4 linked regions of the Anolis sagrei genome follow. The protein of the gene in region 1 purifies or fractionates together with the protein of each later gene. This does not show direct contact. Links are inferred from orthologs where the notes say so. Each region holds a gene or a part of one and is shown in the gene's direction. Other genes may lie near its edges.

Region 1 (7,948 bases):
TGTGGACTCAAACAATGATGGATCAGGACCAAATTTGGCACGAGTACTCAATATGCCCAAATGTGAACACTGATGGAGTTTGGGGAAGATAGACCTTGACATTTGGGAGTTGTACTTGCTGGGATTTATAGTTCACCTACAATCAAAGAGCATTCTGAACTCCACTAACAACAGATTTGGGGCAAACTTCCCACACAGAACCCCCATGACCATCAGAAAATACTTAAGGCCATCCAGTCCAACACCCTTCACCAGGGCAAGAATACGTAATCAAATCCCTCCTGACAAAGAGCCATCCAACCATAGATATAGATAGATATATATCATTCACACAGAGATATAGTATCATAGATTTGAAAGGGACCCCCAAAGAAGAACAATTTGCATGTTGCATGTTCCAGAGTAGGCAAACCATACCATCTCCATATCAACACTGACAAAGAAACAAGAAATACTGTTTACCCACAAGCAGAAAGAAATTACATATATTAGAAACCAACACTGTCTCATTACTTTATTTTCCAGATCACCAGACTGGGCCACAGCAATGCGTGGCAGGGGACGGCTAGTTAGAAATATATTTCATAGGCATTGCAATTCTCCTGTGACAATGGAGTAAGACTAGTGTAGCAGTGTTTATTATTATTAGTAGAAGTAATTGTAATTGTTGATATAATGTAATTTTGTTCCATTAAGTTTACAATCCATTTTGTATTACTAATGTAGTCTCTACCATGAAGAAAAATCCCACATGATTACTATATATGGTAACCCTGGAGTTCATTAGTCTTTAATAGTGGAGCCTTCCCATGAAGGGAATATGTGGCATTAACTTCAAACAGCTGATTTGGAGTGTCCTGAAAACAACTGTTTAGTTTACTTGTAGAGTGTTTTCAACAGGGACATTTTCTGCTTCAGATGCCAAAATAACACGGCTTGCTTTGGTGTGGGAGGTAGACAGGAATTTCCTCCTCTTCCCCTGACAGCTAATGACTTGGGACAACCCTGTTCCTTACAGAAACAACAAGTCCTTATATTTCAGTCTTTTATCTTTGGCCATTGCGGTTGTCTAGCTTGTGCATCTGGAACTGCATGGGTAACAAATCTATATAAATAAAAATGTAATGTTTGTTTGTGGGATTAACATAATTCAAAAACCACTGGATGAATTAACACCAAATTTGGACACAATACACCTATCAGGCCAGCGAGTAACCATCACTCACAAGAACACTGAAAAACACAGTGGGAGGGATTTAAAAAGTCAACCCCCCCCCCCAAAAGATACTACAGTGCATGTGCAAAAACATCTACCCCGGCAAACAAAACACACAATAGCATATCCACACTCTCTTCCGGACTACAGATCCCAGCATCCCCTATACCAGGCCCTTTAGGAGAGGAGGACAATCCAAATGAACTGCTTCCAAGATGCAAGTTTTCTTCTCCTTAGATTTCCTGCATACAGGGGCGGCTCAACCCATTACGCAAAGTAAGCATTTGCAATATAGTTGATTTTGCCAAGGGGCGCTCTTGAGGCGCTCTTGGGGGAAAATAGACCTTGACGTTTGCGAGTTGTAGTTACTGGGATGTATAGTCCACCTACAATCAAAGAGCATTCTGAACTCCACCAATGATGGAATTGAACCATATTGCCATATTGCACACAGAACTCCCAGGATGAACAGAAAGTATATATCAGTGATTGGTTGGGGAGGGGGGGGGGGGGGGCAAAATACTGTTTGCTTACCATTGAAAATGACCTAGGGCCGACTCTGCCTGCATATTTCCAATTTTCTTTTCCTGGACTGCAACTCCCAGCATTTCTCCAGATAAATGGATTAGATAGAGATAGATAGTTTGGTAGATAGATTTACCTAGCTCCAGCAGACTTTTGTCTGCTGGAGCTAGGTGTGAATGTTTCAACTGACCACCTTGATTTGCATATAATCAACCCAGTGATTCCGGCCATGAAAGCCTTCGAAAAAGAAAGATTTTCCTGAGTTATGTTGTGTCCCCATACATATTGGTATTATTGCAATGTGTGTAAATATCTGTGTGTCTTATAAGAGGCCAGTTTAACGTCTGGTTTATTCTTAAAACTGAATTAATGTGTCGCTCAATGATACATGTCTAAAAACTGTTTTGCCAGCATGAAATGGTTGGAAAGCTCTGCCCTAAACCAACAGGGGAGTGATATTCATCCTCTAAAGGGCAGGATGGCCTGATAGGTAATTTCTTGACAGAATCCTATGCTGCTGAGGTGAGAAAACATTATAATAATACAGTCAACCCCCCATCTACAAATTCTGCATCCATGGATTCTACCATCCACATCTTCAATATATATAAAAAGATCCAAAATGCAAAACTTAAATTTTGTCGAAGGGATTCCATTTTACTATGCAATGGATGTAAGGATGCGTAGATTTTGGTATCCACAGTGGATCCTGGAACCACTGCATTCAGAGTGCTGATCACCACTGGGACCACCTTTACTGGCTTGTACCAGTTTTGCAGTTTGATCTTTAAATCCTCATACCATGTCAGCTTTTCCAGTTGCTTCTCATCAATTCTGCTGTTGCCTGGGATTACAACACTGATGATCCATACTTTGCTTTTTTCCCCATGATCATGAGGTCAGGAACCAAACAGCAAAGAAAAGAATGAAAGAAAGAGGTAAAGAAGAAGAAAGAAACAGTATTCCTTGTTTTTTCTATGTCAATGTTGATGTGGAGATTGTCTGGTTTGCCTACTCTGGAACATGCGACATATCATTGTCCTTCTTTAGGGGTCCCTTTCAAATCTATGATATTATATCGCTCACTGTGTGTGAATTATATATATCTATCTATATGACTGGATGGCTCTTTATCAGGAGGGCTTTGATTACGTTTTCTTGCCCTGGTGAAGGGAGTTGGACTGGATGGCCTTAAGTATTTTCTGTCGGTCATGGGGGTTCTGTGTGGGAAGTTTGCCCCAAATCTGTCATTGGTGGGGTTCAGGATGCTCTTTGATTGTAGGTGAACTATAAATCCAGGAACTACAACTCCCAATTGTCAAGATTCTATTTTCCCCAAACTCCACCAGTGTTCACATTTGGGCATATTGAGTATTCGTGTAGTTTGGTCCAGATCCATCATTGTTTGAGTCCACAGTGATCTCTGGATGTAGGTGAACTACAACTATAAAAACAAAGGACACTGCCCACCAAACCCTTCCAGTATTTTCTGTTGGTCATGGGAGCCCTGTGTGCTAAATTTGGTTCAATTCCATCATTAGTGAAGTTCAGAAAGCTCTTTATTGTAGGTGAACTATAAATCCCAGCAACTACAACTCCCAAATGACAAAATCATTTTTTTTAGTGAAGGACATACATTGGGTTATTAGGTGTTTTGTGTCCAAATTTGTTGTCAATTCGTTCGTTTTTGAGTTCTGTTAATCCCACAAACGAACATTACATTTTTATTTCTATAGATTTTAAAATTAACGGTCTGGACTAGATGCTATGAGCCATGACAGTTTAAAGTGGGGTCGAGCTGCATTATTTCTACTGTAGACTGGAGCTACACTGCTATATAAATTGCATGCATATAGATCCAGCCAAAAGAGCAAAGGGAAATGTATTGTCGAAGGCTTTCATGGCTGGAATCACTAGGTTCTTGTAGGTTTTTTCGGGCTATAGGGCCATGTTCTAGAGGCATTTCTCCTGACGTTTCGCCTGAATCTATGGCAAGCATCCTTAGAGGTAGTGAGGTCTGTTCTGAGAATCTGTGAACCCCACCTCCTCCAAGATGAACTGAACCACCTCAACTGGGCTCTCCAGGCCAATGGATACTCCACCTCAGACATCAGAAGAGCTGCAAGACCAAGAACAAGCCACGAGAGTAAAGATGAAGATCCACCCAGAGGAAAAGTGTTCCTGCCATACATCAAGGGAACCACTGACCGCACAGGGAAGCTGATGAGGAAACACAACATACAAACAATCTACAAACCCACCAAGAAAATCCAACAAATGCTACGTTCAGCAAAGAACAAGAGGGATCCTCTCTCCTCTGCAGGAGTCTACCGTATACCATGCAGCTGTGGACAAGTCTACATAGGGACCACCAAACGCAGCATTGCCCAGACACGCATCAAGGAACATGAAAGGCACTGCAGACTCCTTCAACCAGAGAAATCAGCCATAGCAGAGCACCTGATGAACCAGCCTGGACACAGCATTTTATTTGCGAGCACGGAAATGCTGGACCACTCCAACAACCACCATGTCAGACTACACAGAGAAGCCATTGAAATCCACAAGCATGTGGACAATTTCAACTGAAAGGAAGAGACCATGAAAATGAACAAAATCTGGCTACCAGTATTAAAAAACTCTAAAATTACAACAGCAAAACAGCAAAGAGGAAACACCTCTCAACAGGGGAATTTTCCCAGGCTCAGCCAGGCCTTCAAATGCTAATGAAGGTGGTCAGCTGAAACATTCACACCTAGCTCCAGCAGAGAAGAGCTCTTTGCCCCACCCCAGCCATTCCACAGATATATAAACCCATTTTCCTATTTCCAATAGACCTCACTACCTCTGAGTATGCTTGCCATAGATGCAGGCGAAACGTCAGGAGAAATGCCTCTAGAACATGATCATATAGCCCGAAAAAACCCACAAAACCTTAAAAAACATTCACATTCAATTAGAACCCCCCTCCCCCAAAATTACATTTTTATTTATATAGATCTCTATATTTACTGGAAGGAAAAAACCCGAAAAAACCTACAAGAACCTAGCAAAGGGAAAATTCCACAGAGTGGGTCCCAGAAGTCAAGGCGGCGCATCACTCTATTTTATCGTAGCTCTGTTGTTTCCCAGTGAGCGTCACAGAGACGAGCAGGAGGGAAGAAAGGGGCGGCGGCGCTAAGTTTGGCGGAAATGACGCACGAGGCATAGCGGAAGTCCGAGGAGGGGCCGCACTAGCCGCAGCGCCATGGTGGATTACAGCGTGTGGGATCACATCGAGGTGTCCGACGATGAGGACGAGACTCACCCCAATATCGACACGCCCAGCCTCTTCCGATGGCGACACCAGGTGAGGGAAAGGCGCCCCGCGAGAGAAAGGGCCTCGCTTTCGGAGCCCCGCAGAGAACTCTCTGGGCTAGGCCTGCTCAGGCTGCGGCCCTCTCCTTGCTTAGGCCTCCAGCTCCCAGGATTCCTGGCCATTGAACAAACTGGCGAGGGCCTGTAGAAGTTAGAGGCCCAGAGATCTGGAGGGCCGCCCTTTGAGGAGGCCTGCATGGCCCATTACTCCACCCTCATGAACATACTTGGGTGTGGTTGTTTTTAATCTATCTATCTATCTATCTATCTATATAAATACTCCATAAAAACAAAAGAACCAATGAACGAAATCACACCAAATTTGGCAACAAAATGTCTCACAACACAAGGAGTGACCATCACTCAAAAAGTTATGATTTAGCCATTTGGGAGTTGTAGTTGCTGGGATTTATAGCTCAACTACAATCAAAGAGCATTCTGAACTCCATCAACGATGGAATTGAACCAAACTTGGCACACAGAATCATAGAATCAAAGAGTTGGAAGAGACCTCATGGGCCATCCAGTCCAACCCCCTGCCAAGAAGCAGGAATATTGCATTCAAAGCACCCCTGACAGATGGCCATCCAGCCTCTGTTTAAAAGCTTCCAAAGAAGGAGCCTCCACCACACTCCGGGGCAGAGAGTTCCACTGCTGAACGGCTCTCACAGTCAGGAAGTTCTTCCTAATGTTCAGATGGAATCTCCTCTCTTGTAGTTTGAAGCCATTGTTCCGCGTCCTAGTCTCCAGGGAAGCAGAAAACAAGCTTGCTCCCTCCTCCCTGTGGCTTCCTCTCACATATTTATACATGGAACTCCCATGACGAACAGAAAATACTGGAAGGGTTGGGCGGGCACTAACCTTGTGTTTTGGAGTTATAGTTAGTTTACCTACATCCAAAGAGCACTGTGGACTCAAAAATGAAGGATCTTGACAAAATTTGGCACAAGTACTGCATATCCACAAGTATGAACACAGATGGAGTTTGGGGGAAATAGACCTTGGCAATTTGGAGTTGTTTATTTATTTATTTATTTATTTCGTGTACTTATACCCCGCCCTTCTCACCCCCGAGGGGGGACTCAGGGCGGCTTACAAAAGGCACATCTTGGTGCCTACACAAATACAATAATATATAAAACCAGCAATTAAATGGTCAACAATTAAAACAATTAAAAACAACAATATATCACACAATCAATAGCCAATCTCAGACACAGCGTTCGCCAACTCAGAATTCATGTTTCGCTCTACCTTGTCCAGTTCCTATCTATCGTCACAGTCCCTTATTCATCTGCCAGATTGCCCAAACGCCTGGTCCCACATCCACGTCTTTAATTTCTTTCTGAATGAAAGGAGGGATGTTGCTGATCTGATCTCCCCGGGGAGTGAATTCCATAGGTGAGGGGCCACCACTGAGAAGGCCCTGCTCCTCGTCCCCGCCAATCTCACTTGTGAAAGAGGCGGGGTCGAGAGCAGGGCCTCCCCAGAGGATCTCAAACTCCGAGATGGTACGTAAATGGAGATGCGTTCGGACAGATACGCTGGGCCGGAATCATATAGGGTTGTCAGGATTTATAGTTCACCTACAATCAAAGAGCATTCTGAACCCCACCAACGATAGAATTGGACAAAACCTTCCACACAGAACCACAACAGCAACTCTGATGACCCTTGCGACACCCCCTCATGACCTCCCTCCGGCATCCCGACCCCCAGAATAAGAAATGCTGCATTAAGGCCATCCAGTCCACCTCCCTTCACCGGGGCAAGAAAACATAACCAAAGCCCTCCTGACAAAGAGACATCCAGCCATAGATATAGATAGTTATGTATGATTCACACAGACACAGATATATGTATATGACAGATATAGTGCCATAGATTTGAAAGGGAGCCCTAAAGAAGGACAATTATATGTTCCAACGTAGGCAAACCAGACAATCGCTACATCAACACTGACAAAGAAACAACAAGAAATACTGTTTACCCACAAGCATAAAGACATTACAGATATATTAGAAACCAGCACTTTCTCGTTACTTTATTTTCTAAATCACTAGGCTGGACCACAGCAACACATGGCAGGTGATGACTAGTAATAATAATAATAATCTTTATTTGTACCCCGGCACCATCTCCCCAAAGGGGACACGGGGCGGCTAACATGAGGCCAAGCCCAAAAATACAATACAGCAAAATAAAATACAAAACAACAGAAAAATTACATCATAACAAAATGCATAAAATAACAAGATGAAATAAACAGTGCAAAATCTATATAAATAAAAATGTTATGTTCGTTTGTGGGATTAACATAACTCAAAAACCACTGGACAAATTGCCGCCAAATTTGGCCACAAGACGCCTACTAACCCAAGAACTGATCATCACTAAAAAAAAAATTGATTTTGTCATTTGGGAGTTGTAGTTGCTGGGATTTATAGGTCACCTACAATCAAATAGCATTTTGAACTCCACCAATGATGGAATTGGGCCAAACCTAGCACACAGGACTCCCATGACGAACAGAAAACACTAGAAGGGTTTGGTGGGCATTGACCTTGAGTTTGGGAGTTGTAGTTCACCTACATCCAGGGAGCACTGTGGACTCAAACAATGATGGATCTGGACCAAGCTTGGCACAAATGTTCCATATGCCCAAATATGAACACAGATAAAGTTTGTGGAAAATAGACTTTGGCAATTGGGAGTTGTAGTTACTAGGATTTATAGTTCACCTACAATCAAGGAGCATTCTGAACCCCACCAACGATGGAATCGGGGCAAACTTTCCACACAGAACCCCCATGACCAACAGAAAATACCATCCAGTCCAACACCCTTCAC
Region 2 (7,005 bases), about 85 Mb from region 1:
TGTTGTCAGTTGGTTACAATCATTTTGCATTGTCTAAAATAATCACTCCACATGCCTACGTCATCACCAACCCAATAGAACCCAATAGGGAGGCATGAGATATGGAAGAAGGACAGCAGCTTGAGGTGAGGCATGGGAAGGAGAAGAAGGGGACATGGTAAATTTTATTACACCCAAGTCTACCAAAATCATAGAACTTTTCGGACACTCAGTTGTGCCACTTCTGCCTCACAGGCAGCAAGGATGGACAGAAAGGAGGTCAAGTATTCCCTGACACAACTAATGTATGTTCATCTCTTGTCTCTCAGTAAATTGTTGCATTCTCTGCTTTAACCACATTTTTTACATCACTCCTTACCAACATTTGTGAGCATTATTTTCCCTAGTCTTAGATTTGTGGACCTGGGGGTGGCTTTAGTTAACAATAACAAAATAAAATCCTGATAGGTTAGAAAGTTTTGAACCATAATTCCAAAAAACCATTGCACAGTCTGGACACACACTTCAAAGCAAAATGATTACCATATTTACTCAAATCTTAATATCTTAAAAGGTCGGTGGTTCAAATCCGGGAATTGGGGTGAGCTCCTATCTGTCAGTTCCAGCTTCTCATGTGGGGACATGAGGGAAGCCTCCCACAGGATGGTAAAACATCTGGGCGTTCCCTGAGCAAGGCCCTTGCAGACGGTCAATTCTTGGAATGTATCCCCTTTAAGAAAGCAGTGTAAGTATGCCTGTGTATTGAAAATGATCCAAACATCCAGCTAAATACATATTATTTAGAACCCTTTTAAAAGGGTTCTAAATAAAAGATTAAGCTTCATATCAAATACCTGAATGCTGCAACCTTGTGTGCTCCTGATTATAAATGCAGCTAAGTTATTCCTTATATCAGAGCTTTCCAAATGGGTCCAAGTATAAAAATCACAGGTAAACAATGCTTTTTAAAATCTGGTCCTCATTCTTCTCCCACTCTAACTTCTCCAGCAGCAAGAAGTGTACACTGAGGCCCTTTTCACTCAGCTGAATAAAATCCCACATTTTCAGCTTTGAACTGGAATATATGGCATATAAATGGACTCGGATAGCACAGTTCAAAGGAGATATTCTGGATTATATGGCTGTGTGGAAGGGCCCTGAAATTATTGCTCCCGATGTCTCTGTTTAATGATGGAGAGGCTGTGGCAACAGAGGTACCTTAAAGTATTTTTGGCTAGATTAGATACCCGAATGAAATTCTGAAAGGAGGTTGTGTAGGTATATGCTAATGGAACCAATAAAAAAACAAGTGGTATAGTGCTTTATTTCTATTATCTACGTTTCAGGGTGAAAATGCAAACTTGCACCAAAAGGAAGCAATATTCTTTTAGAGAAGAGCTTTCTAAACTCTGGGCCCTTCCATACAGCCATATAACCCAGAATATCAAGGCTGAAGATCCCATGTTATTTGAGTGTGGACTCAGATAACCCAGTTCAAAGCAGATATTCTGGTCTATAGGGTTATGTGGAAGGGCCCTCTGTGTCACGATATGTTTATGTTGGCTGCAGCCTGTAGGTTGTGTGTCACATGAGCGAAACGAGAAAGATTTGCATCTATGTGAAATAAGCAAAAAAAAAAAAAACCCAAACCCCCCATATATATATGTGTGTGTGTGTGTGTGTGTGTGTGAGAGAGAGAGAGAGAGAGAGAGAGCTTTTTATGAAATATGTTGTATCTCTTAGGCCCCTTCCACACAGCTGAATAAAATCCCACATTATCTGCTTTGAACTGGAATATATGGCAGTGTGGACTCAGATAAACCAGTTCCAGGCAGATATTGTGGGACTTTCTGCCTTGAAATTTTGGGATATAGGGCTGTGTGGAAGGGCCCTGAGTCCACACTGCCATATAGTCCAGTTCAAAGCAGATAATGTGGAATTTTATTCAGCTGTGTAGAAGGGGCCTAAAAGTGTGTCAGCAACATGTAAGTAATCTTTGGAAAGCTCTGCCTTATATACTTGTAGGGCTGCATCAGGCCCGTAGCCAGGATTTTGATTCGGGGGGGGGGGGGGGGCTGAGTTTGATTCGGGGAGGGGGGGCTGAGTCTGAGTGAAAGAGGGTCTACCCTAGCAAACCTTTTGTATCATTACCCCAATACCCCCATGCATATGGGATATGTATTGTCGAAGGCTTTCATGGCTGGAATCACTAAGTTCTTGTGGGTTATTTCGGGCTATATGGCCATGTTCTAGAGGCATTTCTCCTGACGTTTCACCTGCATCTATGGCAAGCATCCTCAGAGGTGAGGTCTGTTGGAACTGGGAAAAAGAGTTTATATATCTGTGGAATGACCAGAGTGAGACAAAGGACTTTTTTCAGTTGGGCTAGGTGTGAATATTTCAACTGACCAACTTGATTAGCATACAATGGGCTGTGTCTGGAGCAAACTCTTCTTGAAAGGTAATTAGATGTCCCTCCCTGTTTCCTCTCTGCTGTTTTTGCTGTTGCAATTTTAGAATTTTTTAATACTGGTAGCCAGATTTTGTTCATTTTCATTGTTTCTTTCTTTCTGTTGAAATTGTCCACATGCTTGTGGATTTCAATGGCTTCTCTGTGTAGTCTGACATGGTGGTTGTGAGAGTGGTCCAGCATTTTTGTGTTCTCAAATAAAATGCTGTGTCCAGGTTGGTTCATCAGGTGCTCTGCTATGGCTGACTTCTCTGGTTGAAGTAGTCTGCAGTGCCTTTCATGTTCCTTGATTCATGTTTGGGCGCTGCGTTTGGTGGTCCCTATGTAGACTTGTCCACAGCTGCATGGAATACGGTAGACTCCTGCAGAAGCGAGAGGATCCCTCTTGTCCTTTGCTGAACGTAGCATTTGTTGGATTTTCTTGGTGGGTCTGTAGATTGTTTGTATGTTGTGTTTTCTCATCAGCTTCCCTATGCGGTCAGTGGACAATTGGAGCCCCCGATAGGGCAGTAGGTTAAACCCCTGTGCCGGCAGGACTGAAGACCGACAGGTCGCAGGTTCGAATCCGGGGAGAGGCGGATGAGCTCCCTCTATCAGTTCCAGCTCCTCATGTGGGGACATGAGAGAAACCTCCCACAAGGATGACAAAAACATCAAATCATCAGGGCATCCCCTGGGCAACGTCCTTGCGGATGGCCAATTCTCTCACACCAGGAGCGACTTGCAGTTTCTCAAGTTGCTCCTGACACGACAAAAAAAAAAAGTGGACAATTTCAACAGAAAGGAGGAAACCATGAAAATGAACAAAATCTGGCAAACAGTATTTAGAAAACCTCTCAAATTCCAACAGCAAAACAACAGAGAGGAAACAATCAGGGACAGCTAATCACCTCTCAACAAAAGATTCCCCTAAGCACTAACAAGCCACACCAAAAAACTGCCAGGCCGTCAAATGCTAATCAAGGTGGTCAGTTGAAAAATCCATAGCTAGCTCCAACAGACAAGAGTTCTTTGTCCCACCCTGGTCATTCCAGATATAAAAACCCAAATTTCCTAGTTCCAACAGACCTCACAACCTCTGAGGATGCTTGCCATAGATGCAGGCGAAACGTCAGGAGAGAATGCCTCTAGAACATGGCCATATAGCCCGAAAAAACCCACAAGAACCCAATATATTATTGACTTGATAGTAATGGATAAAATAACTGTATTCTGTTTTTAATGAGCGTGTCTCTTTAAAAATCGAGAGGGGTCCAGTTCCTACGTCACGTCCGGCGCCAGGCAGCCTTAAACCCAAGCCGGAGTCTCCAAGTCTTCCCCCGCTTCCCTTTCCCGGCTGGGATGCAAACCCAACTCGGCCTCCTCAATGAAAGGAAGTCTACGCCCTCCCCATTCCCTTGCGGGAGACAAACAGCCAATCACCGCCTGGGTCAGCCGACGAAGGGCGGGAACGACGCCTGTCTCCTCCTCAACGATTGGCGAGCCGAGAAGTTGACGCGCATCGGGGGCGGGGCCAACGCGGATTGGCCGCTGCTGGCGAGAGAGTCCCGGTGCCGATTGGCCGCACGATAAAAGGGGAGCGCGAGCGGATAGGCCGCGGCGGCCTCACGTGACCTAGGCGGGGCCGGGCGTATTGTGGTGGAGGGGCTCGAGCTTGTCAGGTAGGTGGGCACCGCCTTTGGGGCTTTTGAGGGTGGCAACTTGGGACCTCCGGCCGGGCGAGGGGCCTTCCGGTGGCTGGAGAGGGACTGGGGCTTCTTTGGGGTCTTCGACTGTGTAGGCCCCGGGGTAGGGCGGCGTTCGAAGGCGAGAGAGAGAGTGAGGGAGGAAGGAAGCGAAGGTTTTGTTCCTCTCAGGCTGGGAAGGCTTTGCTTCAACTCCTGTGTGGGAAAGTGACGAGGCTGGGAAGGACTGGGGTTGAGGAAGGCGTGCCTAAGTTTAGGGTGCGTCTACGCCAGGCATGGGCAAACTGCGGCCTTCCAGGAGTTTTGGACTTCAACTCCCACCATTCCGAACAGCCTCAGGCCCTTTCCTTCCCCCCCTCAGCCGCTTTATTTATTTATTTATTTACTTCATTTGTATACCGCTCTCTCAGCCCGTAGGTGACTCAGAGCGGTTTACAACCAAATCAGTATACAAAGTGCACAACATTAGCATTTAAAACAGTAATCATGGCAACTACATCAATATAACAATACATCAATACATCAGTATAATATTAATACATCCATATAACTAATCCATCACGTCTCATCAGTAAAGTCATAATCCGACCTCCTTGTCCATTATTCCATGTTCCAATAATCAATTAATTGCACTGCTTAATTAAACGCCTGTTCAAAGAGCCAGGTCTTCACTCTTCTCCTGAATGCCAGTAGGGAGGGGGCCAATCTAGTGTCTACGGGAAGGGCGTTCCACAGCCTAGGGGCCACCACTGAGAAGGCCCTGTCTCTCGTCCCCGCCAGCCGTGCTTGTGAGGCTGGCGGGATCGAGAGCAGGGCCTCCCCAGACGATCTTAATGTCCTAACTGGTTCATAGGGGGTGATGCGTTCGGACAGATAGGTCGGGCCAGAACCGTTTAGGGCTTTAAAGGCTAAAGCCAGCACTTTGAATTGTGCCCGGTAGCAGATTGGCAGCCAGTGAAGCTGGCGCAACAGAGGAGTGGTGTGCTCCCTGAGTGCCGCTCCTGTTAACAGCCTGGCTGCCGATCGTTGGACCATTTGTAGCTTCCGAGCAGTCTTCAGAGGCAACCTCACGTAGAGAGCGTTGCAGTAGTCTATACGGGATGTAACCAGTGCGTGGACTACCGTGGCCAAGTCAGATTTCCCAAATTACGGGTGCAGCTGGCGCACAAGTTTTAATTGTGCGAATGCTCCCCTGGTCACCGCCGAAACCTGGGGTTCCAGGCTCAGTGATGAGTCCAAGATCACACCCAAGCTGCTGAGGGGGGAAAGGAAGGGGCCTGAGGCTGTTCGGAATGGTGGGAGTTGAAGTCCAAAACTCCTGGAAGGCCACAATTTGCATTTGCCTGCTGTAACCCAAACCTAGTATTGGTGGCCTGACACACACTCTGCTGCTACTATTCGTCCAAGCTTAGAACAGTGTTTCTAAACCTTCCTAATGCCACGACCCCTGAATAGAGTTCTTCATGTTGTGTTGGCCCCCAACCATAACATTATGTCCATTGTTACTTCACAATTGTAATTTTGGTACTGTTATGAATAGTCAATATTTGATACACAAGACGACTAAAATGATCAAGGGTCTGGAGAACAAGCCATATGAGGAGCGGCTTAAGGAGCTGGGCATGTTTAGCCTGAAGAAGAGAAGGCTGAGAGGAGACATGCTTTTTTAATGTTTAACTGCAACCCAGCTTTTGCACTTTCTTCTTTCACCTTGATTAGAAGGCTCTTCAGCTCCTCCTTGCTTTCAGCCATCAAAGTGGTATCATCTGCATACCTAAGGTTGTTAACTGTTTCTTCCAACAATTTTTACATGATAGCCATGTACAAATATGTGAGAGGAAGCCACAGGGAGGAGGGAGTAAGCTTGTTTTCTGCTTCCCTGGAGACTAGGACGCGAAACAATGGCTTCAAACTACAAGAAAGGAGATTCCATCTAAACATTAGGAAGAACTCCCTGACTGTGAGAGCCATTCAGCAGTGGAACTCTCTGCCCTGGAGTCTGTGGAAGCTTTTAAACAGAGGCTGGATGGCCATCTGTCACGGGTGCTTTGAATGCAATATTCCTGCTTCTTGGCAGGGGGTTGGACTGGATGGCCCATGAGGTCTCTTCCAACTCTATGATTCTATGATTCTACGTATTTTCATTCACTGGACCAAATTCGGCACAAATACCCAATACGCTCAAATTTGGGCAAAAGTATGGTAGCTGGGACCCAATGCCGAGACAGCGCAGCGAGTGAGAGATGCAGATGCGACAGAGTCGTGGCAAGGTAGTTCGCCAGAAAAAAGGAGGGGGGGCAACAAACAGCCAAGCATAGTGCTTAAGAGCCGTCGCAAACTCTGTTCCTGTGGGAGCAAACCTTGCTAGCACGTCCCTGACGTCATCAGCCTGCACCTCTCTCCCCGCCCCTTTCTCCGCCCCTTTCTCTTTGCCAGTGTGGTTTTTCCTTTGCTAGGGCAGCATTGCCCGCATTTTCTCTCAGTTGAATTCTGCCAACTGAGAGAGTATGCTGGCAATGCTGCCCTAGCAAAGGAAAAACCACTCTCGCAAGGAGAAAGAGGCGGAGAAAGGGGCGGGGCGAGAGGCGGAGTCTCATGACGTCAGGGACGTGCTAGCAAGGTTTGCTCCCGCAGGAACAGAGTTTGCGACGGGTCTTAGAGCCGTAGCAAACTACTGGAAGAGAGAGCGAGCTTGTGCTCGAGCTCGCTCCGAAGCCCCGCCTTTTCCCCCCCGAGCTGCTCTCTCTCTTGCTAGTGTGCCTGTTTTCCCTTGCTAGGGAAGCGATGCGAGTGTACTCTGGCAGTTGGCAGAATTCAACTGTGAGCGTACGCTCGCATCCCTGCCCTCTGCAATGGAAAACAGGCACGCTA
Region 3 (7,192 bases), about 31 Mb from region 1:
ATCAGCCTCTAGGAGGGGCTGTCTCTTCTGGGCGGCATGGGGTCTGGTCCTGCTCTCTGTGGGATCCTCCTGTGCCATCTGGGTTCCACACAGGAAAGTCCACAGACCTCCCATTGTTCACCTCACCCAGGTAGTTGTCCTCAGCGGCAGGAGTGGATTATGGGTCCCACAGTTCGATCTGGGCCTCTTCACTGTGCAGAGGGGACCCCTGGACCTCGACGCCCCCCCTCATATTTAAGGCAGTTAATGGGATAATTTAGACATACACATACATGCGCTCAGGGAAAGGGGAGGGAGGAAGGGCCAGGAAGGAAAAAAGCATCCGAGGGACTGCGTGTGTGAGAGAGAGAGACTTAACCATAGATGTGGGTGAAATGTCAGGAGGGAATGCTTCTGGAACATCCCTTCCTTAGGTTTTTGGAGAAGGAGGTAAGAGGGAGCAGCAGGATTTCTCTGGGGGATAGAGGAAAAAAAAATTCACAGAATGCTGGCTTCTTAGAAGATGGGAGGGGAGGGAGAAGAGAGAGAGAGAGAGAGAGAAACCCAGCAAACTTTACTTGGCAAAGGGAAACAGGAGCAGGAAAAAGGTCCCCCCCCCCCTACACCTCCCTTTGTTTGCAAGAGGAGAGAGGGAGGAGGGGTTTGAAAGCAAAAAGGGGGAGTTGGAGAGTGAAGGGAAAAACAAAGGAAAGGCAGGGACATTGGTGACTGCCCCTGAAAGATGGGTTTTGTAGTTGCACAGAAGAGAAGGGGAGAGGGAGAGAGCTCTTGGTTCAGGGAAACCAGGCGAGAGAGAGAGACTTTTGCAAGGCAGCTGAGTCACATCAGTGGCAGGGTCTCTCCTGGTGAGGGGAAACACTGTTTATTATAAATAAACAGGCACTGAAGATTCAGCTTTTGAAAGAAAGGGATGTAGTAGCTTGGTGAAGGAGGGAATGAGCGATGCCTCCCTTTTCCATCTGAAGGAAGGAAAAAAGGTGGCACAGGAGGAAGCAGGAGAGGAGGAGAGCAAAGAATTTCCCTGATCATTTCCTCAAGGAGCAGTGAAGAAAAAAAAAACAAACAAACAGAGGGGCATATAAATGCATCATAAATAGGGAATAGGGAAATGGAGGGGTTGGGAAGGGAAGGAAGGAGTCAGGGAGATTGGGTAAAGGGAAATGGGAATGGGATGGTAGGGGAACAAGCAATTTCTTCCAAAGGGAGAGGGTGAAGGGGTCTGGAGGGGGTTTCCTGGGGGGGTTGGGGCTTTGTTACCTTCCCCTTGCATGGTAGGAGTTGGCCACAACTACCCCCCCCCCTTCCACCTCCCTCCGGCACATGGCAAAAAGCATGAGGCAGAGGCGGTTTCGGTCCTCTTGGCCCCCTCACAGCGATCCGACTGCCATGAGGGGCCACGAAACTCCACCTGCTGAGGGCCTGGAGGGCCACCTCTCCATGCGATTTTTACCCTACTGGCCTGCGTCGGCGACGCAACCCTGCCCCATTCCGCCAGTATCTTCCAAAAGATGTTTCTGATGAAGCAGGACGTTTGACCCTGGAATAACATGCGCCCAATCTCTCCTGGTAGCCCCACACTGAAGTGGTTAATCAGGGTAGCCCCCCCAACCGCAAGGCAGGCTAGAGCCCGAACGGTTCCCTAGCAGAAGAGCCCGGGGCGATCAGCCCTTGGCAGCTAGGCAGTCCGAAAGGGGAGGGCTCCCTTTCCAGCGTAGCTCCAGCCAAGTCCGCAAAAGCGAGCTGAGTTGCTATTCCAGGCCTCAAACGTGGATGTTCGCTACCCCCCGCCAGGAATTTGTTACCGAGACCTAGAGAATCCCTCCCCAGTGGGCCGACTCCGAAGCTGGTTCAGAAAACCTAGAATCCCCTCCCACCTGGCAGCCAAGGCAGCCCGCGGTTGATTTCTTACCCGTCCGGACGTTTTCTTCCCCCCTTTCCGCGTCGGTCGTTCCTCTTCCTGGAAGTCCTTAGATCAAGGCTTCCCTGGCGCTCCTTTGTGCTGAAACCCTAGGTCAGAGCTTGGGAGGAAGTGGCTGCGGGAGAATTTGTAGTTTTGGTTAGCTGGTCAAATGAAAGTCCGAATTGGGAGAGGCGCCTCTTTTCCCAAGCCGTTCCTCCTTTGCTGCTGGCCCAAAGAATCAGACCAAGGCGCCTGCTTGAGAATTTAGGCTATAATTTAGTCTGGAACCTCAAGCAGCAGTCCCTTCGTGGTAAAGCCAAATGATATCGAGCTCCTTTTGGGGGGCTTTCCCAGCGAGGAAGGCCCCAGAAGACCGCAAAGGGGGTCTTTGACCTTGGCGAGCGGCCAGCGGATGCCAATTCAAGAAGACGCAAAGTTACTGAAGATCAATCTCGCCAGAGGCTGAAGAGGAGTCTACGACCGAGGCGTTTATTTTGCGATTCAGCTGAAAAGGATGCGTTACAGGGATGAATCCTCCATAAGGCATACAGTACAGTGAATTTCAGGCATATTTATACAGGCAGAACAAAGAAATCCTGGTTTGAATCTCCCGCCCGCCTCCTGTCAGTCCCCTCTGTCCTGGTTGGCCGGCTCCGGAACAGCTGGGAGGAGGCTTGGCCGCTGGTCCCGCCTTCCCTCCAATCGCCGGCCGCTGTCGCCTCCAGAGGGCCAATCAGAGCCCTCGGAGCGCCTCCGGAGATTGTCCAATCAGCGGCCAGGAGGCGGGCTTTCAGTCTGATAGCGCAGAGGGGCGGAACGCCTGGGAGGCGTCTGCCAGCTGATGGAACACCTTTTGTCTCTTCACGGCAGGGAGGCGGATGGGGAGAACAAGGGATTTCCTGGGTCTTGATAAAAGATGTGTATGAGCAAAAAGGGTGGCTATGGATGGTGTCTGGATCTCAACCCTGTAGGCAAAGGAGATCCTTTGACACAAGGGAGCATACACAAACACCATGATTGATTTAATCAGTCGGTTTTTCCGGGCTTTTGGCTGACAAAATCTCTGGCTTTTGTTTGTCTGACTCTGAGAACAAAGCCATAGATTTGCCAGTATTTGTCCATGCATTGTCAATATGGATGGAGTTTCTTCCAAGGAAATTGGATTTCCTTAACTGTAATCCCCAGGTCACATATTCTTTTATAGGGTAAAGTTCAAGAGGGGGAAGGCAAGGAAAGGGGTGAGGGTACATCTCATTTCATTTCATCTCATTACATATCATATACTTCATATATATATTCTTCACAGTCTTTCATAACTCATAGATTTCATAGAAAAGATCCCCATCCCAGTAAAGTTTATTAGAAAACCCACAGCAATTAATAAAGGCAATCAGCAGAGTTCCTGAGGTATGATCCTTTGCAACAAGGGCATGCACCCACGGGCGGGGGCCATGCTTCCCAAGCGGCTTGGCTTTTGAGTCCGTGGAGGAAGTTCATGATGATAGGGCATCAAGTCAATCAGTGAGGGCAGAAAGGTCCGCAAGGAATCCGCAAATGGTGGAGAGTGGGGCAATGTCCTTTGGAGAACTACATTTCCCTGATCAGGGGCCAGGGTCCAGTGCACAAGCCAGAGAATTCACAGAAGGGAAACAGGAACCCAGTTATGTGTGCTGGGTCAGGAAGCAGCAGAATCCATTGTCCGGCCCTTGGCGAACTACAAATACTTGGGGGGGGGGGTAGATGCTCTGCATCAATTCCACCTTAAATGGGTCACTTTGGGAGCCATTGCTGCCCAAGACTGTTGCCATCATGTATCATGGAGGAGCCGCAGGATGTTTACATATTTGTTTGGCAACTGATACAGGGAGAGATCTAATCTAGTCCTGACTAAAATCTATCAGCAAATAGGGAAAGGAAAATAATGGATTGCAGACTGGAAAAACTCAATATAGGCATTCCAATCCAATCCCCAAAAGTGGACACCAGGGATTGCAGTAACCATAATATATTTGCAAGTGAAGTGGAGCTTAAAGTTTTTTGCAAAACTGCATGCATTCCAGGTTGTTGCTAACAGATCTGTGTAAATGGGTGGCGTTCAGAAACCTTTGACTGTTGCCAATTTTTTTCGTGGCCCCAACATTGAGCTGAAAGGGACTCCATTTGAATGTCCAGTTGATTCTTTGTAAATGAGAGCTGAATAATTGTGTTTGGGAATTAAAGGGTTAATCCCTTCCTCTCCCCTAAAAGCGCCCCGCCCCCTTATTGTGACGTCAACGCCCGGCGCCCCGCCCCCTTTCGAACGCTCGCACAAGATGGTGGCTGTCTCTGGGCGAGAGGTAGGAAGTCTCCCTTTCCTTGGCTTTTCCCACATTCCGATGGTCTCGTTCGGCCCCTCCTCCCCTTCCCGGACTGACCCCCCTATTTTCCTGCTCTCTTGGTATCTTCCTGCCCGGCTCCTCAGCCACTTCAATGCGCTTTTCGGGCTTGGGAACCCACACCTTCTTTTTAAAGGGGGGGGGGGGCGTTTAGAGTCGCTTCCAGACGTCATTCCGGACTGGGAATGCGGTCAGACTGGCCCGGATTTCGCCCGCGGCTCTGGTTTAAGTTGCAGGAGGGGAGAGGCGTGGACTTCTCCTCCTCTTCCTCCTCCTCCTTCCCGAATTGAGACCCCTATCCCCAGGCAAAGGCATAGACTGCACCTCCCATCATCCCCAACCTTTGTCTCTCCAGCTGTATTGGGCTTCATCTCCCTGGAAGGTTGCATCTACACTGTAGAATGAATCCAGTGTGACACCGCTTTCACTGCTGAATGCAGTGGGAGTTATAGTTTTATTGCAATATTGGACACTTCTCTGTCAAACTACAACTCCCAGTGTTCTGCATCACCCAGTCCTGATAGTTCCAAGGGAGGCCAAACTGCGTTAAATCTGTAGTGTAGATGCTCAGGGATTGCCGGACTGCAGTTCCCATCAGCCCCAGCCAACTTGTCCTATAGTGAAGGATGATAGGGGGCTGCTTTGGTCACACGTAGAATTAATGCAGTTTGATATCACTTGAACTGCCCAGGCTCAAGGCAATGGCATCCTGGGCATTGTAGTTTTACAAGGTCTCCCTGTTAAAGAGCTCTGGGGCCTTCACAAGCTACAAATCCCAGGATTCCATAGCATGGGGGTGTGGCAGTTAAAGTGGGATCAAACTGCATTAATTTTACACCTGAAGAAGCATCCTTATGTCTTTAGATCAGTCTCTGTTGATCATTCTTAGTCACTCTATAGATACATTTATTTGTGTCTTATTTATTAATTGATGAATGCTATTACCTTATATCAAGATACACTATATAAATAAAATTGTAATCTTCATTCATAGGATTAACATAACTCAAAAACCACTGGATGATTTGACACCAAATTTGGACACAATACACATTTGAGGCCAACAAGTGACCATCACTCATAAAAACATTGAAAAACACAGCCAAAAAACAAAATATACAATACAATGCATGTGCATAACAACATATATATATATACGCAAACACACATCTACACAAATATATATACACATACACACACACACAACACATATACACAGAGTGGGCCACAGCAGTACGTGGCAGGGGGCGGCTAGTAAATAATAAAATGCTTCAATAAATAAATAATAAATAAATATTTACAGTGTACCTTAGATCAAGGAGCCCCCCAGTGGCGCAGTGGGTTAAATCACTGAGCTGTTGAACTTGCAGATTGAAAGGTCGCAGGTTCGAATCCAAGGAGTGGGGTGGGCTCCCACCTGTCAGCTCCAGCTTCTGCCAACTGAGCAGTTCGAAAACATGCAAGTGTGACTAAATCAATAGGTACTGCTCCCGTGAGAAGGTAATGGCGCGCTATACAGTCATGCCGGCCACATGACCTTGGAGGTGTCTAAGGACAACGTCGGCTTTTCAGATTAGAAATAGAGATGAGCACCAACCCCCTGAGACAGACACGACTGGACTTAATGTCAGGGGAAAACCTTTACCTTTGCCTTATATCATGGGATTACAAGGCCGTTTACAATAAAAATGAATAATATTTGAGCAGACTACTGCAATGGGCTCTGTGTGGGGCTGCCCTTGAAGTACACTCAGAAACTGCAGAGTGTAGGAACTTGATTGCTGACTAGAAGGCCATATCGACAGCACGTCATGCCAATCTTAAACAAATAGCACTGGCTGCCAAAATACAAATTTCCAATCTGGATTCAAAGTGGTCGCGATGACTTGTAAAGTCCCAAATAGCTTCTCAGTGTCCCATAAATAAGATTAATATGCAGTGTTCAGATATGGGATGGGGTCTTCTGAGTCGTGGCACCCCAAATGTGGAATGCTCTCCCTGATAGAGGCCAGCACTTATTTCATTTAGGCACCCATAAGTCCTCATTGGCTCCGTCTACACTGTAGAATTCATGCAGTTTGGCACCACTTGAACTGCGTTGGCTCAGTGCTATGGAATGGAGTCCCCGGTGGCGCAATGGGTTAAACCCTTGTGCCGGCAGGACTGAAGACCGACAGGTTGCAGGTTTAAATCCGGGAAGAGCGCAGATGAGCTCCCTCTGTCAGCTCCGGCTTCCCACAAAGGATGACAAAACATCAAAACAATCTGGTGTCCCCTGGGCAATGTCCTTGCAGACGACCAATTCTCTCACACCAGAAGCAACTTGCAGTTTCTCAAGTCGCTCCTGACACAAAAAAAAAAGTGCTGTGGAATCACAGGAGCTGTAATACATTTTTAAATATACTTAATTTATATTCCACCCTAGGGAACTCAGAGCAGATTACAGCATATATAGGCAAACATTCAATGCCTTTACAGTCATATACAGTGAGACACACAAACAGGCAGAGGCTTCTTTCATTTCCGGCTTCTGGAGCCACTGCTTATCTCTGGCACTGAGGAGGTGCTTTCTCTATTTTCAAGACAAGGAAATTTTTTTGAAGCATCTCTTTGACTTTTCCTGCCAATTCTCACATTTGCATGTTTTCGAACTGCTAGGTTAGCAGGAACTGGAGCTGACAGAAGGGAGCTCACCCCGAATTGCGGATTTGAACTGGCAACCTTCAGGTCAGCAGTTCAACAACACAAGGGTTTAACCCAGGGGTCCTCAAACTTTTTAAACAGGGGGCCAGGTCACAGTCCCTCAAACTGTTGGAGGGCCAGATTATAATTTGGAAAAATAAATGAATTCCTATGCACACTGCACATATCTTATTTGTAGTGCAAAAAACACTTTAAAACAATAGAATAATTAAAA
Region 4 (7,995 bases), on another chromosome or scaffold:
CCCACCCTCCGCCGCCCCGTCCCTACACGCCCATACACCATCCTTCCCTCCTCCCCCTCCCCTGCCCCCTCTGAGACAGCCATGTCCCCACCCTCCGCCACCCCGCCCCTACCCGCCCATACGCCATCCTTCTCTCCTCCCCCTCCTCCTCCCCCGCCCCCTCCGAGACAGCCACGTCCCCACCCTCTGCCGCCCCGCCCCTACCCGCCCATACGCCATCCTTCCCTCCTCCCCCTCCTCCTCCCCTGCCCACGCCCCCACCGAGACAGCCACGTCCCCACCCTCCGCTGCCCCGGCCCTACCCGCCCATACGTCATCCTTCCCTCCTCCCCCTCCTCCTCCGCCGGTCACGCCCCTTCCCAGGAAACTACGCCCCTCCAATCCCTGCCCTGTCCCTTCCCGCCCTGACCCAATCCATCCCTCCTCCCCATCCATCTCCACCGCCGCCATCTTCTCCAAGGGGAGGGAAGAAAGGTAGGAAAGAAAGAAGAAAGAGAGAGTAGGAGCATGGGAAACAAGGGAGAAAGGAAGGAAGGAAGAAGAAAGGAGCGGAAGGGAAGGTGTAGGAACGAAGGAAGAAAGGACGGAAGAAAAGGCAAGGGAGGAAAGAAAGCAAATGAAGAAGAGAAAGGGAGGGAAGGAAAGAAAGAAAGAAAAGGAAGTATGGAACTACAGAGCGAAGGAAGGAAGGAAAGAGAAAGAAGAAAGGAGACAAAGAGGAAGGAAAAAAGGGAGGAGGAAGGAAAGAGGTACAGAAGGAAGGAGGAGAGAAGGAAAGAAAAAAGGGAAGCGAGGAAAGACGCAGCAAAGGAAAAAGAGAAAGAAGGAGAGAAAGACGCAGGGAAGAAAAGAAATAAGGAGAAGGAAGGATGAAAGCAAACAGCTAAGGAAGGAAGTAACCAGGTAGAGAAGGAAGAAAGGAAAGAAGAAAACGGAATGAAGGAAGGAGTGAAAGAAGCAGAGAAAGAGGGAGAGAAGGCTGGCCACAGCAACGCGTGGCAGGAAAAGCTAGTAGTCTATGAAGAAAAACATAAACTACATTTGGGGACTCTGATCACTCACACACATATTTCTATATCTTTGAAGGAAAAATACACATGTATAATGAACATTCCTTCAGCTTTTCATCAGTATGTACCAAATTGCATCTATCTCTGGCCACAGTTCTGGATTCTGCATTTCATTATTATAATATCTGAGCTCATATATCAATCCAGGAGTGTTTCCAGATTGTTAATATATAATATATGAAGCAGAATTTCTATATGTGAAAATTTTAGTGAAAATGATTAACTTGGTTAAAATAATGATGAAACATTAACACTTGTCTGTGACTTTTGCAGTTGAAAGATCCAAACATGCTTCCATTACTTAAACATCGTGAAACTGTGAGAGAACGAAGCAAGATTCTGAAGATCAGAGAGCTCTTAACAAACTGCCAGAAAATACTGAAAACACTGCACACTGTTCCACCTGAAGAAATTGATGACCTGTGTCAAGTCGTAACAGAACTGCGTGGCCTAGCCCACCAGCGACATAAAAAGACGGTTAGATTTAAACAAAAAAAATGAGGCACAAATCTGTTGAATAAAGAAAAGAAAAAGTCTCCTTTGGTGTGCAGCCTTTCAAGTAAACAAACTTGATGACTGCTCTGTATTCCACTGGGTCCATTATCAAACCTCACATCATTTCAGCACCTGTCAAATCAAGATTTTTCTCAGTTCCGAGTTGTAAATTGGCACGTAACCTATAGAGACTGATATCATTACACATGTGCAGTTTCAGCATCCTGTGATAAATAGAAGTGGGTCAGAGGAAATCTTTAATGCATGCTCATATCAGAATAATTAATATTCATTTATTTATTTATTATTTATTTCGAGGTTTTATATACCGACCCTCTCACCTTCAAAGAGGGATTCGGACCGGTTCACAACATGTGTTAACATACAAAGAATATACAATAACAACACAATGCCACTTCATTACACGGTTAAAATATCAGCACTATACATGTTAAAACATTATCATCACAGTTAAAAGAGCCAAATCATCCGACACCATCACAATACCATTCATCATCCTCCTTTCATGTGGGCAAAGAATTAAATCAGTTGTCAAATGCCGCGTTCCACAACCAGGTCTTTGTTAGTTTCCTAAACGTCATGAGGGAGGGGGCAGTTCTGATCTCTAATGGCAGGGAGTTCCAGAGTCGAGGGGCCACCATCGAGAAGGCCCTGTCCCTCGTCCCCACCAGCCGTGCCTGTGAAGGTGGAGGGACTGAGAGCAGGGCCCCTCCAGATGATCTTAGTGGTCTTGATGGTTCGTAGGGGAGAATACATTTGGAGAGTATTCAGTATGAATATATGTCCCATGGGTGGTGGATGCATGTAGAGAGGTATAAAAATATATGCTGAATTGTTTAACTGATTTATTGTATTTATTTATTGTGTGAGAGAGACTGGATGCTAAAATGCTTTTTAAAATCTATGGGCCCCTCTTCTTTCCTTGTTCTTTCCCCCCAAGGTGGAATACAAGATCGGTAGCACACTATAAAAAAGTTGGCACCTAATAACGTTCATGTATATGATTATCTGCGTATTTGTTCTAGTAGTATTCTCTCCTGATTTTTCACCTGCATCTGTGGCAGGCATTCTCCAAAGGTTTGCTCAAAGGTCTGTGGAAATGAGGCATGTGGGGTGTACATATATCTGTGTAATGTCCAGGGTGGGAGAAAGAACTCTTGTCGTTTGAGCCAAGTATGAATGTTGCAATTGTCCACCTTGATTAGCATCGAAACGCCTTGCAGCTGTAATCTTGATTAGCAATTGGGTAGCCTTGCAGCTGAAAAGCCTGGCTATTGTTGCCTGGGAGCATTCTTTGTTTGGGAGGTGTTAACTGGCACTTGATTGTTGGCTGGCTGAAATTCCCGTTTCTGAGTGTTGTTCTTTATTTGCTGACTTGATTCTGGTATTTAGGAATACCAGTAGCCAGATTTTGTTCATTTTTATGTTTTTCTCCTTTCAGTTGAAATTGTCCACATACTTGTGGATTTCAATGGCTTCTCTGTATAGTCTGATTATGGTGGTTGTCAGAGTGGTCCAACATTTCTGTGTTTTCACATAATATTCTGTGCCCAGCTTGGTTTATCATGTGTTCTGCTATGATTGATTTCTCTTACTGAAGTAGTCTGCAGTGCCTTTCATGTTCCTTGATTCGTGTTTGGGCAATGCTGCATTTGGTGGTCCCTCTGTAGACATGTCCACAGCTGCATGGTATCCGGTAGACTCCTGCAGAGGTGAGAGGATCCCTTTTGTCCTTTACTGAACATAGCTTTTGTTGGATTTTCTTGGAAGGGCCTATAGATTGATTGGAAGTTATGTTTCTTCATTAATTTCCCTATGCAGTCAGTGGTTCCCTTGATGTATGGTAAGAATATTTTTATATTTTTCCTAGGTGGACTTTATTCTCAAGCTGGTGCCCCCCCCCCCCCAGAACTTTTCCCCCAGGGAGATTAGAGTAACACCCACCCTGTCCACCTTCCGAAAATACCCGAAAACTTTGATGTTGCAATGTGCCTTTGACTAACCGGTTCATCTATTGACTAGGCCCCTCTAGCTCTAACTTATTGTCCGGCTTTGTAGCACTTTATTACTCGCCCCTACAGCTCTGTTGCATTAGCCCTTGCTAGTGCCCTCCTAGATCTGAACACGCCCATTCTTCTCAGCTACTGCTTGATGGTTATTGATGTTCTTATGTTTTCATGATGTTTGTTGTTAGGTTTCATTGTTTTAATTATTTACATTTATTTATCATATCAGAAGTGAACCGAGGGTACAGTTGTAATGTATTTAAAAACACAAACAAAATTTAATTATTGAAATTCAATGTATTTTAATTGTGCTATATCTTAACTTCTGTTTTTGCTGGGCCTGGTCCCCATGGAAGCCACCTAGAATCCCTTTGGGGAGATGGTGGCGGGATATAAGAATAAAATTATTATTATTATTATTATTATTTGCTAATCAAGGTATCCAATTGCAACAGTCACACTTGCTTCAAAAAAACAACAAGTGTTCTTTCTCCCACCCTGGACATTCCTCAGCAGAGGCGGCCCTAGGTAATTTTCAACGGTAAGCAAACAGTATTTTGGTGCCCCCCCCCCCCACCAACCAATCATTGATATATATTTTCTGTTCGTCATGGGAGTTCTGTGTGCCATATATGGTTCAATTCCATCATTGGTGGAGTTCAGAATGCTCTTTAATTTTAGGTGAACTATACATCCCAGTAACTTGCATTTGTCAAGGTCTATTTTCCCCAAGAGCGCCTCAAGAGTGCCCCTGGGCAAAATCAACTATACTGCAAATGCTTACTTTGCGTGATGGGTTGAGCCGCCCCTGTTCCTCAGATATATAAAGCTCACTTGCCTAGTTTCCAACAGACCTCACAACTGGGTTGTCGTAGGTTATTTCGGGCTATATGGCCATGTTCTTGAAGCATTCTCTCCTGACGTTTCGCTTGCATCTATGGCAAGCATCCTCAGAGGTTGTGAGGTCGTAACCTCTGAGGATGCTTGCCATAGATGCAGGCGAAACGTCAGGAGAGAGTGCTTCTAGAACATAGCTATATAGCTCGAAATAACCTACAACAACCCAGTGACTCTAGACATGAAAGCCTTCGACAATACACAGACCTCACAGGATGCCTGCTACAGATGTGGGCGAAGAGTCAGGAGACAGTGCTGCTGGAACATGGCCAGACAGCCTGGAAAACTCGCAGCAACCTAATGCTTCCGGCCTATCTTGTTCCTGTCTTAAGGGTTGCTTGTATATTCTCCAGCCATTCCCACCTGCCTTCCAGAATCAAGAAACTCAATACCGATTGCGCAAGGGCTGTCTACCTTCTCTCCCTCTCTCTGCGCGCATCTCCCGGAAGGGGAAGAGCCCACACCCTGAGGCCACTTCCGCTCCCGTCCCAGGTCTCGCGAGAGCTGGCTGGCTGGCTGCCCTGGGGATCCGCGGCTGGCCCAGGCAGGCGGGCGGGGGGGCGGATGGAGGGTCTGCCGGCGGGGCCGGGGCGCGGGGGCCCTCCGGGAATGGCGGCCTGCGAGCCCTGGGAGGTGCGGGAGCGGCTCGGCACCGGCGGCTTCGGCAACGTCTCCCTCTACCAGCACCGGGTGGGTCGCCGGGGTCGCAAACTTGGCGGGGGTTTCGCCCTTGGGTTGTGGTCATTGGAGGACGGGGCTCCTCAGCCTTTGACTGACTTGAGGGCCCTGCTCCTGGCTTGTGCCATGAGTGCTGGGTTTGGTGGGGAAGGAGGGAGGAAAAAGGAAAGAAAGGACACATTCCAGCTTGACAATATCTCTCTTCTGGGCACCACAATTGAAGGGAGATGTTGACAAGCTGGAATATGTTGAGAATAGGGCGACTAAAATGATTAAGGGTCTGGAGAACAAGCCCTATGAGGAGCGGCTGAAAGAGCTGAGCATGTCTAGCCTGAAGGCCGAGAGGAGACATTATAGCCATGTATAAAGGTGTGAGAGGAAGTCATAGGGAGGAGGGAGCAAGCGAGACTAGGATGCGGAACAATGGCTTCAAACTACAAGAAAGGAAATTCCACCTGAGCACTAGGAAGAACTTCCTGACTGTGAGAGCTGTTCACCAGTGGAACTCTCTGCCCCGCAGTGTGGTGGAGACCTCCTTTGGAAGCTTTTAAACAGAGGCTGGATGGCCATCTGTTGGGGGTGCTTTGAATGCAGTTTTCCTGCTTCTTGGCAGGGGGTTGGACTGGATGGCCCATGAGGTCTCTTCCAACTCTATGATTCTAAGGGAAGGCGGTGCAGCGATGGCAAAGGGGAAGCAGAAGACGGTAAATGCTTCTTCTCTGGGTTGATGAGGCCGTGGACAGGGATGTCACCCTGGCAGAGAGTGAGTACTTCATCACACTAGAGAACGAATCCACTTTAAATCCAGTTTCTGCCTCCTGCAGAATTCTGGGGTTTGTGGTTCAGGGAGGCTGTTAAAGGCAGTGATTTTTGTGGTGATCTGTTTTAATTCTTTCTTCTGCAAGACAGGATTTAGGTACAAAGTTAGCAATCAAGTCTTGTCGTCTGGAACTAAGTGTGAAAAACAAAGATCGGTGGTGCCATGAAATCCAGATCATGAAGAAGTAAGTTCTCACTTTGTTTTTCCAACACATTTTTGTTTATGTCTATGTGGCTGGCATGCCCTTTTATTAGTCCCAACTACATGCTGATGGTGGTGGTGATAATGCTGATAATGAGACTCATTATCAGCCATTCAGTCAGTTGTTGAATGATGAGCCGATGCATTGGTAAATCGAATTAATTCAGTGAATCAACTAATCAGCACAAGTGGGGGGGGGGGGGCTATTTAGACAGATACCAATTGTACAAGTTTGATTTCATTTAGAAATGTGTTAACCAAAATGGAACAATATTATACAATTTTGAAAAATACTTCTATATATACACCTTACTTCTATATACACCATCTGAATAAATTACAATATACATATTTTAAAATAAATTTTCTTAAGATGTTTCAAGAACATTGCCCCCCAAATATATATATATATATTATACGCACACATATACACACACACACTAAAATATAATAAAGGGGAAATGTAAGAGCTGTTTTTAAAATTGCTTCCAGCACAATGAAGTGCATTTTATTTTTTTCTTGAAGTTTTTAATCAAACTGTTTTCTGTGTTAGTAGAAAACCAATATCGCTGGAGGTGAAAACAAAAGTCTGTTTAGGTATACAGTAGATCTCCGTATTTGTTGCTTCAAAAAGTATACATGTATGTACTGAAATGGAATAATATATGAGGTATATATAATATATAACTTGTATATATAATATATACAAGTTCATAAATACTTTTAAGAACCATTACTCAACTCATAACTTCTGTCATAAGAATTGGCTGGTACAGAAACATTGGGTGAAAAAAGTGATAGTTACGTAAAGGGTGCACTTTACACCATCACTCTCACCTTGGATTCACATTGTACAGGTGCACTTGTGCCTGCATGATTTGCAGAGAGGATGTGGCGAAGGCAGAAGACTGTTTGCACTGTTTTTGGCACAACTATAAGAATGCCTTGTCATGTAAATGCATGTCACGCTGTTGACATACTGTTGTTCACGGCCAGCCCCATGAGTGACCTCTAGTCACCCTTTTATGAATTCAAGTCTTACAGATTGATAGTGTTTCATGATCTACACAATCAGAAATTTTGCTATAATTTGGAAAGCAGATGCTGAAATTCTTTGGTGTATGCCATTATCTAACATGTTTACAATGTGATCCCTGATGCCTCTGTTCAGGGGAGCCTTTTCTAGGCAAGAACATTCCAGAAAATCTTCACATTTATCTGTGGTCCACATATCTGACACTCAGTCCTCTTTACCAACAGGCCAGAGGCTCCATCATGTGATGAGACAGCATATTCAACTATTCTAACCATCAGGAAATTCCTCCATATTTAGGTGGAATTTCAATTCCCCTCCAATTTCAATCCATTGCTCTATGCCGTAGTCTCTAGAGCAGTTGAAAACGAGCTTGATCTCTCCCAGTATGGACATCCTTTCAAAAATGCTAACGTTCTGATCTTGTCCTCTGAAGTATTAGGTATCCATCCTAATTTGGTTGGAAGACAAACTTTGCCAAGAACATCAGGTCCAACAAGTTTCTCACTTGCCTTGCAGACAGCGTCATGGTCCAAAAGGTGGAAGAAGCAACAAGGGAATCAGTTATTTTAGATTTGATCCTAACCAACAGTGATGACAGGGTAAATGGGATAGAGATAGTGGATTCCTTAAGTGGGAGTAACCATGTTCTTCTAGAGTTTGTTATACAGCAGAAAGGGGGAATGAAGCATGGTTAACATGCATTCTAGACTTTAAGAAAGCTGACTTCAGTAAACTGTAGAAGAAAACCAAGTGCAAGTCCATGGTTAGGAA

The links. The genes of interacting proteins can lie anywhere in the genome.
Region 2: the proteins of CDC37 (region 1) and FER purify together in Homo sapiens (affinity purification with mass spectrometry; 3 studies listed by BioGRID and IntAct, with this or other methods). This does not show direct contact. The link is inferred for Anolis sagrei from reciprocal best matches to the Homo sapiens genes CDC37 and FER.
Region 3: the proteins of CDC37 (region 1) and ARAF purify together in Homo sapiens (affinity purification with mass spectrometry; 7 studies listed by BioGRID and IntAct, with this or other methods). This does not show direct contact. The link is inferred for Anolis sagrei from reciprocal best matches to the Homo sapiens genes CDC37 and ARAF.
Region 4: the proteins of CDC37 (region 1) and CHUK purify together in Homo sapiens (affinity purification with mass spectrometry; 7 studies listed by BioGRID and IntAct, with this or other methods). This does not show direct contact. The link is inferred for Anolis sagrei from reciprocal best matches to the Homo sapiens genes CDC37 and CHUK.

What each region holds. Positions count from the first base shown.
Region 1 is NC_090022.1:161,784,123-161,792,070, forward strand, and holds the start of CDC37 (hsp90 co-chaperone Cdc37), read left to right. Parts: upstream 1-4,931; 5' UTR 4,932-4,988; coding exon 4,989-5,090; intron 5,091-7,948. UniProt on the Homo sapiens protein: Co-chaperone that binds to numerous kinases and promotes their interaction with the Hsp90 complex, resulting in stabilization and promotion of their activity. Inhibits HSP90AA1 ATPase activity.
Region 2 is NC_090022.1:246,895,377-246,902,381, reverse strand, and holds the start of FER (tyrosine-protein kinase Fer), read left to right. Parts: upstream 1-3,985; 5' UTR 3,986-4,110; intron 4,111-7,005. UniProt on the Homo sapiens protein: Tyrosine-protein kinase that acts downstream of cell surface receptors for growth factors and plays a role in the regulation of the actin cytoskeleton, microtubule assembly, lamellipodia formation, cell adhesion, cell migration and chemotaxis.
Region 3 is NC_090022.1:192,681,019-192,688,210, forward strand, and holds the start of ARAF (serine/threonine-protein kinase A-Raf), read left to right. Parts: upstream 1-4,172; 5' UTR 4,173-4,236; intron 4,237-7,192. UniProt on the Homo sapiens protein: Involved in the transduction of mitogenic signals from the cell membrane to the nucleus. May also regulate the TOR signaling cascade. Phosphorylates PFKFB2.
Region 4 is NC_090023.1:141,576,840-141,584,834, forward strand, and holds the start of CHUK (inhibitor of nuclear factor kappa-B kinase subunit alpha), read left to right. Parts: upstream 1-4,975; 5' UTR 4,976-5,053; coding exon 5,054-5,179; intron 5,180-6,076; coding exon 6,077-6,171; intron 6,172-7,995. Other genes in the region: ERICH6B (glutamate-rich protein 6B), read left to right, coding at 1,344-1,571.